Linked DNA regions of Caenorhabditis elegans. The protein of the gene in region 2 interacts with the protein of the main gene of each other region in a biochemical or structural test. Each region holds a gene or a part of one and is shown on either strand. Other genes may lie near its edges.

Evidence for each region.
Region 1: the proteins of unc-96 (region 2) and pxl-1 form a complex in vitro, tested with the Caenorhabditis elegans proteins (one study listed by BioGRID).

What each region holds. Positions count from the first base shown.
Region 1 is NC_003281.10:5,890,005-5,898,169, forward strand, and holds pxl-1 (Paxillin homolog 1), read right to left. Parts: upstream 6,008-8,165; 5' UTR 6,003-6,007; coding exon 5,957-6,002; intron 5,676-5,956; coding exon 5,546-5,675; intron 5,471-5,545; coding exon 5,382-5,470; intron 5,336-5,381; coding exon 5,242-5,335; intron 4,283-5,241; exon of another isoform or gene 4,225-4,282; coding exon of another isoform or gene 4,127-4,224; coding exon 4,075-4,126; intron 2,421-4,074; coding exon 2,274-2,420; intron 2,015-2,273; coding exon 1,841-2,014; intron 1,599-1,840; coding exon 1,503-1,598; intron 1,455-1,502; coding exon 1,320-1,454; intron 674-1,319; coding exon 395-673; 3' UTR 269-394; downstream 1-268. UniProt on the Caenorhabditis elegans protein: Required for myofilament organization of the pharyngeal sarcomeres and for pharyngeal muscle contractions and hence for pharyngeal pumping. Together with lin-8, might be required for myofilament organization in the body wall muscles.
Region 2 is NC_003284.9:618,253-623,221, reverse strand, and holds the start of unc-96 (CRE-UNC-96 protein), read left to right. Parts: upstream 1-1,931; 5' UTR 1,932-1,943; coding exon 1,944-2,042; intron 2,043-2,748; coding exon 2,749-2,897; intron 2,898-4,969.

The DNA.
Region 1 (8,165 bases), on a different chromosome or scaffold from region 2:
TGATTTTGAAATGCGTAGAAATTTTAATAAAAATTTTGGTTTTTTTTTGAAAATTGATTTACTTTTTTTTTTCATATTTTATACAATGGACGTGTGGTAAGGTGGAAGGTTTTTGAATTGAGTAGACTGGAATTTAAGTTAAGGTATAGGTTTAGGCTTAGGCTTAATCCTGTATGTCAAGCTGAAGTCTATGGATTTAGGCTAGCTGACACTTAAATTTTTGAAAAGTATGGCATTAGAGAACTAGAAAATCTCAAAGAGAAAAATATTATATTCGATTTCATCCAAGCCTAATATTCTAAACTATTACTGAATTATCTTTTCCAGTTACCACCTTCAAAAAACTTGAAAAACCACAAAAAGACAGGAGAGACAAAAAAGAGAAAAAAAAAGATTAGGCAGGAGTCAATGCATACGTATTATTATAACACTTATGACAGAATGGCCGACGATCAACTTCTTTGAATGTTCCTTTTGTCAGTTGATGATTACAATATGAGCATCTAAAATGTTCCGGATGGAACTTTCTTCCCATTGCAGCTACACATCTTCCATTAATGGCTCCACGACATTGAGAACAGATTGAACCACGAGATTCATGATAATGTCGCTCACAGAGTGGAGCACCGTTGTGCTCAAAGAAACTTGCACCATTGAAAGAAACTCCGCAATGCTGTAAAGAACAATCCACATATATTTAGGGAAGTTTACAGATGACACACCAAAATAAAAATAATATTTTATTCCAAAAATAAAACTATTGACTACAGCTAAAGGAATAATTCTAAAATATTTCATGCTTAATTATGTCTATATCGACTAGGTAAGGAAAGATACAATAAACCGAAAAACCGAAACATCTTTTTTAATGGTATTATAAAATATATTAGGGGTCAAGGTTTTTATTAATATGAAGTTTTGGAAGGTTCAATCAAACTTGTAAATTTGCACATTTTATAGGTCCCATGTGAACTCAGTCAGTTGGCTCAAAATTAAAAATATATAAACCTAACACTTATAGTTAGTTTTATATAGTTTTATTTTTTTAACTTCAAATGTTACTATTAAAAAAACCACAAAACTCTATCACTGCAGCATACTATCAACGAAAAGCCTCTCATTATAATATTTTCTGGCACTTCACACAAGCCAATTTGCTCCACTCATTAAAAATAAAAAGGGGTAAGAAAAAAAAAACGAAACGAATAGACGAATAGAGAGACACCGACAAGAAACATACCGCACAATCGGTTTTCGATGGTTTCTTTAATTTTTGAATTGACTTCCTTGTTTAACAAATGATAATGAACTAAAAATACCTGACAGACAAAACAATCCGGATGCCAATGAGTTCCCAAAGCGGTGATAAAGTTTGAGGTGATTGGTTGAGAGCAGCCATTGCATTTTGGGGCGAATAGACGGAAGAAGTCACGTTTGCAATAGGTTTGTCCATTCTGAAAGTGTAAACTGAAAGGCTTTTCAAACGGATTTTTTTAACCAACCTTCTCATGGAATCCATCCTCTCCGAATGGTTGATTGCATTCTGCACACGTGAAGCATTCAATGTGGAAGTTCTTGTTCATTACACTCACACATCTCTGGAAACTTAAATTTTGTTTCTCTAATCATTTTTATTTCATGAAAATATATTCAAGATGATTAACAAAAAAAAACACTATTAAACTTGTGTCCACATTAATTTTTGCAAAACTCCACTAATCGGCGTTTTTCGTTGTACATTCAAAACTGGAAATACTACAAATCATGCACAATATTCTGTATTCACTATTATCCAATTGTACCAAATATTTATGACTAAGAATTTTGTAACGTCACTTACATCAGTGATGGCTCGATGACATCCTTGGCACTTTGGACTGAATTGATTGTGATAATCTTCTTCACAAAAAGCACGTCCATTTCTCTCAAAGAATGGGCGTTGTCCAAGTTCGGCACCGCATTCACAGCAAGTGTAATGCTCCGGATGCCACATTTTGCCAAGAGCAATGACGACCTGAAAAATGGTTTTATTTTTCAAATTTGATTTTCTGGACATTCCAAAGTTGAAATTTAATAATTCTTTTTAAAACTATTCTGAGGAAATTTCTAGAGTCTCGTAGTTTAACTAAATACCGCGAGAACATTATTTTGAACTGTCCTACGTCACAGTTAATCAGAATTAAATTTCAGGATGCCAAACAGTAATACACAGCGAAATTAATAAATCCTAGAACTTTTCACATATTCTAGAATTGTTTTATTAAAACGCTCACCTGTCCAATAATCGGTTTTCCACAGGCAGCACAATCTCCTTTTGGAATTGTATTGACTCCATGTTTTGAGCTCAATTCTCCATTCATTGTTCCAATCATTGAATCCGAATGCAGTGGGTCTCTTGATGGAGACCGACCGTTCGATCTCTATAAGTTCCACGTTTTTATGTATATGGGCAACGATTGGAAATGTGTGTTTTCATTCGTTGCGAGACCATTATGACAAATTTATGTTTGTGTGTGTATGTTTTGTTGGAATTGGCATATTTACTTATAGTTAATGGAAAAAGGTTTTTGTCGGAAAGTAAGCTGAAAAACTAATAAAATGAAAAATGACTGAACATTGGTAAGTGGCAACAGAAAAGGTGCAATATGCCAAAAAAACGGGGTAATTTTTATTTTCTAATTTACGTAATGATCTTTTAGACCACACAAAAGTATACAAATCCATTTCTAGAATGCTTTTGGAAACTTTCTGTGAAAAATTAGTAAAATTGCCGCGGCGTATTTTTAGCGAGGTCATTCTGTTTTTGATAGCGGGGTATGGAAGTATTTTCCCTATGTTTTTATTTATCCTCTGTAAACCCGAACTTTGTAATTTCGAAATTTAGATCCCCTTCCCAAATAGTCATCAAAATACACTAAAAATCGTTCCATATGACCTCATTCCAAAAGGTTTCTCATCAAAAACCAAGGAAAAGCTAACAATATCTCCCTTTCTCTATTCCCATCGTTTCACCTTCATTTACACCCCCGCTTCAACCTCTAGAAGCCCCCCGTACTGTTTGCTCGTGGAGCTCGTCTGTGTCTCTTCTTCTCACATACTCTCTAGCACGTGTTTCCACGTAAAAGAAAGAGCCACGCGGCAATAAAAGAAGGTTTTACAAACAGAAATTTCGCTCCACTTTTCGTTTTTTTTTTGTTGCTTCCTCTCCTTTTACTATGTTGTAAAATATGAAACTGAAAAGTTTTTGAAAAATGTGACGAAAACGAGGGAGACAAATAGTTGCTCTCAGAACATGAAAATAAGGGAAAAGAAGAAGCAGAGGAAGTAGTGGAGCATCTGAATTTTATGGGGATACGCTTGCATTTGGGATTAATGGAATCCTACAAAACAAGCAAGATGAGCAATGTATTCAAATTAAATGAGGAGACTATGTTGTGAAATGTTGCCAAATCTTTTATGATCTTTCAAATTGGAGCAATGACGTTTAAGTGAAAGAATTGTGGATTTTGATAAACCATACTAGTAATAGTCCATCATGACCTAATACCATATTTAAACACTCTACATTTTTTCTTGAGATTTTTGAAAGTTTTGTCAAGAAATGGTCAACTTAGAACAATTGAACAAAAATTAAATAATATTCTGGTGGATTTCTTGAATTACCAGTGGCAAAACCCGAGTAATTGCCAATTTTTGACAGTAAATTGAATATTTCAAAAAACATTTTGAAATTATTTTTATTTCAAAAAGTCCCAAAAATTTCAAGAAACCTTTATTTTAAAAGAATGACCGAATTTTCTACTTTGTAGTCATGTGACCAAAATAGGAAAAACTACAAATTCATAAAGTTTGCGTCTAAGTTGAATACATATCGTTCAGGATCAGTAAATTAGGTTTTAAAATTTGTGAACACAGAAATATCCGGAATTAGATTTGTAGAGATTGGGAAAGTTTAATGAAGATTCTGGGATTTTGAAAATTCTAATTTAAGGACATTTTTAATTAAGGTCTCCCAACGAAAACATTTCAGTTTCCCTTCCCAGAAGCTCCCCCCGAAAAGAAATAAAAACTTACGACATCAGAGTAGGATTGTGCCTGACTTGGTGGTCCGAGACTCTTGCGTGAGCTATAAACCGAATGATGTTGTTGGTGGTTTGAATGACTATTTTGTGCATAATTTGGACCATTGAAATGGTCAAGCCGTTGTTGCAACTCGCGCATCATTCCGCCAAGTGATAGGTAAAAGTGTTGTGTGCGTGGAAAAGAAAAAGGTGTGCTGCTCCTTTTCTCTATATTTTTCTTTCTCACTTGATAGAGAGTAGGTACTCTCCCGCCCTACAGCATTTTACCCCTGTTGAGCTCAAGAGATACTGAGCAAGACGAAGAAACTCAGTGAAAAATAAAATAACCGGCTCCTCCTCTGTACCGGGGAAGAAGAGATGATTTGCGACACGGGATGAGACGAGTAGAAGTAATATGCGTGTATGTTATTAGTCTTTTTTCTCGTTCTTCCCTTCACATTTGAGTTTTTGTTTGTTCCCGGGATTTTAGACGCAGAAACACGGGAAATGACCTAAGAGCCGGCGGGAAAATGGAACACGGAGTTGGCATTTTGATAAACGGGCTTGACCATTTCAAATCGGAATTTTCTAGTTTTATATTTTCAACATTTTTATTTTCGGAGCTATTTTTGGAACTTAAAGGCCATTTTTCTTTTGTTGTCTGGAAAGCTTTTAGAAATTAAAAAAATATATATCTGAACCAATTTTCGTGATATACATAAGTTTTCAATTTTTTTGAAGATGCACAAAAAATGTTGATATAAAAATTAACAATTTTCAACAAATCTTATAAAAATGTCGAGGCCTTAAGTGAACTTTCTAGGCTACAAAAAATTATGAATTTTCGAATTAAAATGCCTAATAGAATTCTAAATTCTGAATTGTTGGTCTAACATTTTTTGTGTGTTCTAGGCCATTGATTTATATTTTCGCATTCTCAGATGTAAGATGTTAATGTTTTACAGATTTTTTTGAAAGTGCCAATCAAAATTTTTTAAATTTTTCCTTTTAAGAATCCTAATCGCAAGATTCTTGAAATTATTAAATCAGAAGATTTGAAATTAATATTTAAATTGACTCATAGTATAGCTTTTTAAAAGGTTTTTCTAGGCCACGAATTTCAAAATATGACTCCGAAGATAAAAATGTTTTCAAAAAAACAAAAAACGTTTTCTCCTACCTGCTTGCTCGAATTGGTGGTTCTTCGACTTGAGACAATAGACTTTGGACACTTGGACGTGAATAGACTGGTGGGTTAAGTCTTGATTCATTTTCTACAGATACAATTACATATTAATGTTCTTTACATGAAAAACAAACCATAAATCCTTTCCTGACTTTTTGAATAATCTTTTCCTTCTGACGAACGACGTTTGTAGGGTGAAGTGGTTATATTTCCATTGCTCACACTGACACAAATATTAGATGTTTAGTTTATGTTAAAACATGTATGGAAAGGTTTGTAACATTAAAAAAAAACTAACCTCTGTGTGTTAAGATTTCCCTGAAGATCATAGGATTGCTCAAAATCATCACGACTCTGTGAGCGGCGATCACTTATATGAGCACGGCGGAGCACTTCTGTGGTGTGTTGAAGATCCGATAGAAGGGCTTCTGAAATTAAAATAATATATTTATTTATTTTTTGTTTCAATTACAGAATTTGAACTCTTCAATGTTTCAAATTGAAAAGTGAAAACCCACTTTTTAAGAATTTTATTATTGAAAACTATCAAGTATGAAAATCATATAAATTTTCAAAATTATGATAATTCCATCCAAATATTAATAAGTTTCCCATTAATCAAAAAACTCATAATTTCCAAACTAGTACTACGACTACTACTGGGAGCATTTCTCCACCGGAAAGCCTCCATTAGAAAGTTCTTGGGTACCTAAAGCTGGTTTAACCGCATCCGCAAAACGATCGTCGCTTGGCATTCTTACTGAAATATTCAAAAAATGTTCAGGAGAAAATCAAGAAAAAAACAATTAAAAGGCGGACGAAAGAGCTTTATTAGAAGTTATAATGTAATTGGATTTTATAAAAAGTCCAAAATTCAGTTATTTCAGAACCTCAGAATGCAACCCGACGGCTTAGTCAAGTTTCGGAAAATCAACAAATTATCAATTGATCGAATTTACAACAAGATGTTCAAAATAGTAAAAAACGGTACCAATGAGGGTGTATAAAAGAAGGAAAAGTGCAATAATAGATGAGTGTGTATGCATGTGTATGGGGACCACTAAAAATGTGAGAGAATGTGTCAAAATATGTGTGAGTGAGTGGAAAAAAGTGGGAGGAAGAAGACAAAAAACGATGAAGAAGCCGACAAAAAAAAAGAAAAAAGGAAGAAAGAAAGAGGAGGAGAAGGAAAAAAGATTTATGGAGATGACATAAAAGAAGTACAAAACATTGAAAAAAGAATAGCATCTGGATAACAAAAATACAAATTTTTATTTATAAAAATTACAGTTTGATGAGGAATCCTCAGAAAATAATCCAGTAGCCTAAGTTTTTAAAATATTGAAAAGGATGTCTAATAGTAAGTAGACACTTCACCTCTCAAATTTTTAAAGTAGAAGTGTCTACTTTTCATTAAAAAAATTTAAATTAGAAGTGTCTATTTTCCCATAAAAAATTTTTTAATGTAGATATGTCTACTTTCCATATATTTTAATTTGATTAATTTGCTTCTCAGAATAGGAATGATCATTTTGATATTAGTTAAAGCTTGATCAATAGGAAAACTTAGTTTAATTGTGAAAAAGTGTTAAGATAATTTTGGTTCAAATTTAAAATTGTGAAAAAAAAACTTTTTTGTAGAATTCCAAAATTAAGAAGGTGAGAACTAGCCACTTTTTGACTACACTATTTTAAAAAAACATTTGAACCGTTTTCTATGATATTAGGACATTTTAGCAACATATAGGAATGGTTTTATGCAATTCAGTTCGTTAAGAGTTTTTTCAATTACACATATTCCTAGTACATGTTTTTGCTAATTGAATTGAAATTTAATTAGAAAATAATCCAGGTTGCTGGAAATAATTGGTACTTGGAAAAGGGATCGATAACGAGGAAATATTTAAAAAAACCTTGAAAGTCAAATCAGTAATCCAATCTAGTAATCCAATCTCTCTTTTTCGAAAAAAAAAATTTTTGGAAAATCTAAATAAATTATTAGCAACATGACCGCCAAAGAAAGCGATGACCGAGGTATCCCTTTTCTCGGCCAAGTAGCAGAAGTCTCCCTATGACAAGAGATACATTGAAATCACATATTCCGTTTGAATAGATCACATTTTAAACGGTGTTGTGAAACCGGATCGAGTACTAAAGGAACATGCCAATCATGCATGAAAAATGAGAAATGTCAAAACTTTTATGAATTTCTACGGTATATTGTGAAAGTTGTTTGGAAGTTCTTGAAACTTCTTGAAACTATTATTTTACCAGAATATTATTTGATTTAAGGAAAAACTAGAAAATGGAACATGGGAATTCTTCATGATCTTGGCCCTTAATCTTTAGGAGTTTCTTCAAAAAAGAGAAGAGATAGACGATAAAAGGAAATAGTGTGAAAGTTAAAGAGATACAGAGACAGACACATAAACGACACATAGAAAAGAGCGGGAAGAAATGGAGGCAAAGTTTTTGTTTTTGAATCAAGAATGAGCGGGAGGAAGAGATTGAGATGTACACAGGCTTGAGGGAATTCGAATTGAATTCGATTGAAATGTAACTAAACGGCTGCCGTAAGATAGTAAGTACGACGGTTGATCTAAAAATGATACAGTTTCTAAAAATGTGGCTCTATACAATTGATGAAATTTATTAATGGTACTGGCTCTAAAGACTCTAGATAAAACTCTCCACTGGTTAGAAAGAAAACTATGCTCTAAAATGTCTTGTAATAGTTAGTGAAGCTAGCAAAAAAAGTCTCCAAGAGACTCAAGAGATCTGCTCACAGTAAAACAAAAAAACGCGTCAAGAGTGTCTCTCGCCTCCCACCGCATGCTTTAACTTTTTGATGACAAGTTTGCGCCGCCACGGATATAAATAAAACCATCGAAATGACTTTGAAAAGATCATGGAGATCC
Region 2 (4,969 bases):
GGAAAATCACAAGTTTTCACTTACAAAAGTAAACGATGATTGTCATTTTTCAGCAAAATTGCCGTTGATTGCACATAATTTCTAATATTGAGAATGTTGTGATCTAAACTGTAGTTCTGACTATTTTCTATTTGAACATAGTCTTTAGCTAGCTGATATACTTGGAAAAACCTGAAAATTAAATAATAATAGTCTTGTATTCAAAAACTAACAAAATGTCCAAAAAGTTATATCATGTTCTTCGTATTAGTAATTAATAAAATGTTTTTATTTCATCAAACTGGGAACAAAAATCAAGTCAAGATTATAGGGAGCTTTTAAGTGACTACGTAAGAAACCATTTGAAGTGAAAAATGAAGGCGAGTCCAGAATAAATCTGACGGGAGAAAGTGTTGATGCTTTCAAATTATTGATCTTTCGAGGGATCTGGCAAAAATTTAGTTGCGCGCCAGATTAAAATCAAAAATTAAGCTATAGTGGTTTTTTCAAGTATAATGTTGATTTTGTGTTTTTTTTCCTGGTTTCGAAAGCACTTTGGCAATTTTCCAAGAAGTTTGAATGATTAAGAAAAATCTAAAATTGTTGATCAACTTTATCATAAGTATTTCAGTCAACACAGATTTTTTTCCAGAAATTTTGAGAGTTATCTTTGATTCCGGAAATGACGGTCTTTTCCTCACTGCTTTTATATTGCCATTTTTTGTACGAGCCACTGTTGCTTTGATTATCTTTCGATTAATTCTGATTCAGGTTTACTTTTTTGATAATTCAAATTTTCAGAGCTACCTGGCGTTAAATGTCACCCTTTTTCCCTTTTTTCAAGAGAAAATTAGTTTTGTTTGTTTCAAGAAACGTTATTGACAATAAATCTTAGGAGTTATCTTAATCTAAAAACTGGGAAAAAAGTAAAACGAATTCAGTCTACAGAATTGAAGTACAGTAAATGATTTTTTTCATCAGCTAGAACATTTTAGAAGCCCTTTTAGATTTCAGGTTAAGCTATCTCCCAAGCATGTAGCCGCAACTGAGATTCTGCAGTTGTTCTAGAAGATTTTCACATCCCCCATACGGCTATTATTTGTCTGAAATTACCGTTTCAAATTTCAGCGGCCTGATCAAGCCTGATTAGATTCATATAATTGTAAAACAAACTGCAATACTTTAACTTGAAAAAATCAGTAACCCGATGGCAGCACCATTTTTCACAAACTGAAACACGAGGACGCCGGCCCGATTTGTGGGGGGGGGGGGGGGGGGGGGTTTGAGAAAAATCATCGAATCGCAGCTAGTGCTCTTTTGCCGAGGGACAAGGAAGAGAGAAAGAGAGGAGATACGCCCGTTGGCTTTACACAGGTTTTGTGTTGAGATCGTCAAGAAGACGGGAGGTAGTCGGGAGGGGGGGGGCGAGAGTGCAGTGATCAGAGAGGCGCAGTCGTTCCCGGCTCTCTGAGCACGCACACTTTTCTCCTCTATTCACGGGAAGACCTCTCAACATTCACCCCACTCTTTTATCTTTTGTATTCGGATTTTTGTTTTTTTTTGTTGGTGCTTTAATTAATTTATTTTTCGATTTTGTTAACTTTTTTATTTTGCTCTGCTAAGTATGTTTAATTTCTCTAAATCTTCAAAACTTACATGTATATATTTGAAAACATGCATCAAATTCTAATTGAAAAAGCCTCCAACCAACTATTGCGAAATACTTTTGTTTTTTATATTGTGGGCCAAAAACACTGATACCCCTATAAAAACATTACCTGTATCCCGAAAAAAACTTGAAACTCTCGCGCGACATTGACATTCCAATCAAAAAGGCGGTGAGCAAATCCCCTGAGCACCACTCAATTTCTCAAACAGAAAAGTTTCTGTCTCATACATTCTTGCCAACTTTTTCATCTTTTTCTACTCATCCCTGAGCTGTTACTTTCCAGAAGACTTGGATAATGAGTGAAACTGAAGATGTGAATCTCAACCTGGATCCGGAGAAACCCAAAGTTCGATCAGTTGTGAGATCAGACAGCGGATTGGAAAATGAGATTCCTGTAAGAAGAGAAGGGTGGTGTGAAAAACGAGAAATATATATATATATGTATATGCTTTGAAAGTTTTGAGTTTTTTGAGAGTTTAGGCAGCATTTTACATTTTATCGGTTTGCACCCAGTCCGTACATTTTTCGAAAAGCTTTAGCCTATTTTTGAAGATAGTTGAAAATTTTGAAATTGTTTCTCTTCAGTTGGGATTTTTGAATGTCAAATACTTTGATTTAAAGTCTAAGGGAATACAAAAAAGTATGAACTGGAAAATAGTTTTTCAAAAGTCAATACCTCCCTTTCATATGAACTGAGAATCTTTGATCACATTTTACAAGAGCATAATATAGAATGTAGTGTATGTCTAGACAATTTTTCTGTGATGCCGAAAAAAATATAGAGGATTAAAATAGACAAAAAATGTAGACTATGATCACAAAACGCTCATCTTATTAAATATACTCAATGTTTCTTAAAACAAACAAGTAGTTTGGGATCTGGATAGATTAGGATATCAATTGATTAATTCGCAGTACGAGATTTAAAAAAAACTGTTTATGCAGTTTTGTAAAAAAAAAAGACTAATAACGTCAACAAAAATTATATTGGATGCAACTCTCAAAAATTAATTTGAAATTGGTAAATCTTCACGCTTTAGTTTATGACAGAATTAGAAATTCTAGTAATTGCATAAATCCGAATACTCTCCATTTTCCAGAAAATTTCCGGAACCTCATCAGCATTAATAGAAGAGGGGTTATCTCTGCTCAACCTCAAATCTTCTTTGAGCCCAAATGTTGCTCCAGTTGCCGTAGATTTGTTGGATAGAACGTGCCCAAGTCCAGATTACGGGCTGACGTCAGAGAGGTTAGTGAACTTTTTTCTTTCAAGTAGTGAGCTCCCATTATATTTCAAAAGTTTACGATACCGTGTATAAAAGATATTTTGATTGTTTTTTCCTCCACGGGTTTAAGCTTCGGCTGAGGCTTTCACTCATCAATTTGGTTTTATTAATGCATATTTATCTTGAAAAATGGTTTTAGCTACTTTTATCTATTGCTTGAAGTGAATTTCATCTGCGTGTGAATTTTCAACTACTTTTAAATAAATTTTCGCTGAATTATGGTTCTGCAACCTATAATACTATGTTAGCAAATGTAACTCAAAAAGTACCTAACAAGAACAAAAACAAGATTGTAAGAGTTATCAAAAATGACCGAGAGCAAGATTTCTGCCAGATGTGTAACTGAGTGAGATATGTGTACGGCGGAAACAACACATTACACAATGACCCGCAGAGTTTGATTAGATTTGTTAATGTTTTGGTTTTGAACGCGGTGAAAAAGAGATCAACTAGGACTTGTCAAAATCCAAAGTAATCATATTTTAAATGTTTATTTTTTTATCAAAAGAACAAATCGGTGTAATTTGACACCTTTAGCAAGAATTATCACTGAAATCGTGACGAGAGCTAAAAAAACTAGATGCGTCTTCAGGCTACAGTAGCAAATTGTTGACAGTGAAAATTATAAGTATTGTTTTTTGATTCCTAGTTTATTCTTTTTTTTTAAATTTTAACCTTTATAAAAATATTAAAGATTTCCACTTCTCAGTTACCTCAACTGTGATTTTTGCCGTGAAGCAAAGATGATTGAAAAATACCGTTAGAATCTTGTATTTTTGACCAACTTTTCTACGCAGTGGTAACACCATAATGATGATCGTAACTATCGCAATAAAAATGTTCCCACTTCTACCATAATCATTAGTCCTTCTTTTCACATGTTTTTGAACATGTTAGCAGTGTTGACTTTAAATTAATTTTTCTCCGGGCTGTCATGTACCTACTGGATACAGGGAGGATATGTCTGAAAACTTAATTTGGACTATTCCAAGAACACTATAAGTGACTGTAACTGCTAAATACAATTTATTGAACTTCCACAGCTTGATATTACTGATAGTAAAACATTTACTCATGACAATTATATTAGGTGTTCAAGGACTAATTATAGAGCTTGTAAAATTTGAAAAAAATCGGTTGCCAAATTGGGAATTTTTAAAAATTTTCTTGTATGTAGTGTTTCAGTCTGTGACATTTTTTTAGAGAAAATTCTATTATAATTTGTGTATATCAATGGAAAATTTTGGAAGTAGATGTTTATTGGTTTCATTCACAACGGAACAAGATGATTTTTTCTCGTAAATGGCATGACTCGGAATAAACTTTCTAGTGTTAAAAATGATAGAAAAAATCTTAGATTTTTTAGAAAAATGCAATTCTAACCAATTGTTATGAACGCACGTGCATTCATTCGAAAAAAATAACGTGGGAGGCTCCAAAGTCTAAAAGACCGCTGATAAATTTAACTGTAAACTGCTGAAATATACAAAAAAAAAAGTGAAAACAAGCAAATTATTAAGGTAACCTTTCTAATAGTTTTTAAAGAAATCGTTAAGCTCATAGAAATGTATTTCTATAATTGCGCCTCATCATGTATGTATTACTTTTCAATGTTTGATAGAGTCATTAATAATTTGAAAAATATTGTTTTTCCCCAAATGTTTGAAATAATGTACAAAATAATGTTTTCATGTGATGCTTTAAACACATAGTTGGTTTTAAGTAAAAAAACAAGCCTAAGAAAATTAGTTTAAGTTAAACAATCACATGCGAAACTTAAAAAAACTGCTCGTTTCAGAAATTTAAAAATGAAAAACTCAGAAGCAGAACTGTTTTTTTCGCTTCTTATCTGCGCTATTCCAGCATTCACGTGGTGTCAGAGTATCTCATTTTGGTTTGATCTACATAGATCTACAAAAAAATGCGGGAGTTGAGACGCAAGGTTCTCAACTGATTTCGCATGGTAAAGAATGTGCTGACGTCACATTTTTTGGGCGAAAAAATTTTCGCATTTTTGTAGATCAAACCGTGAAAG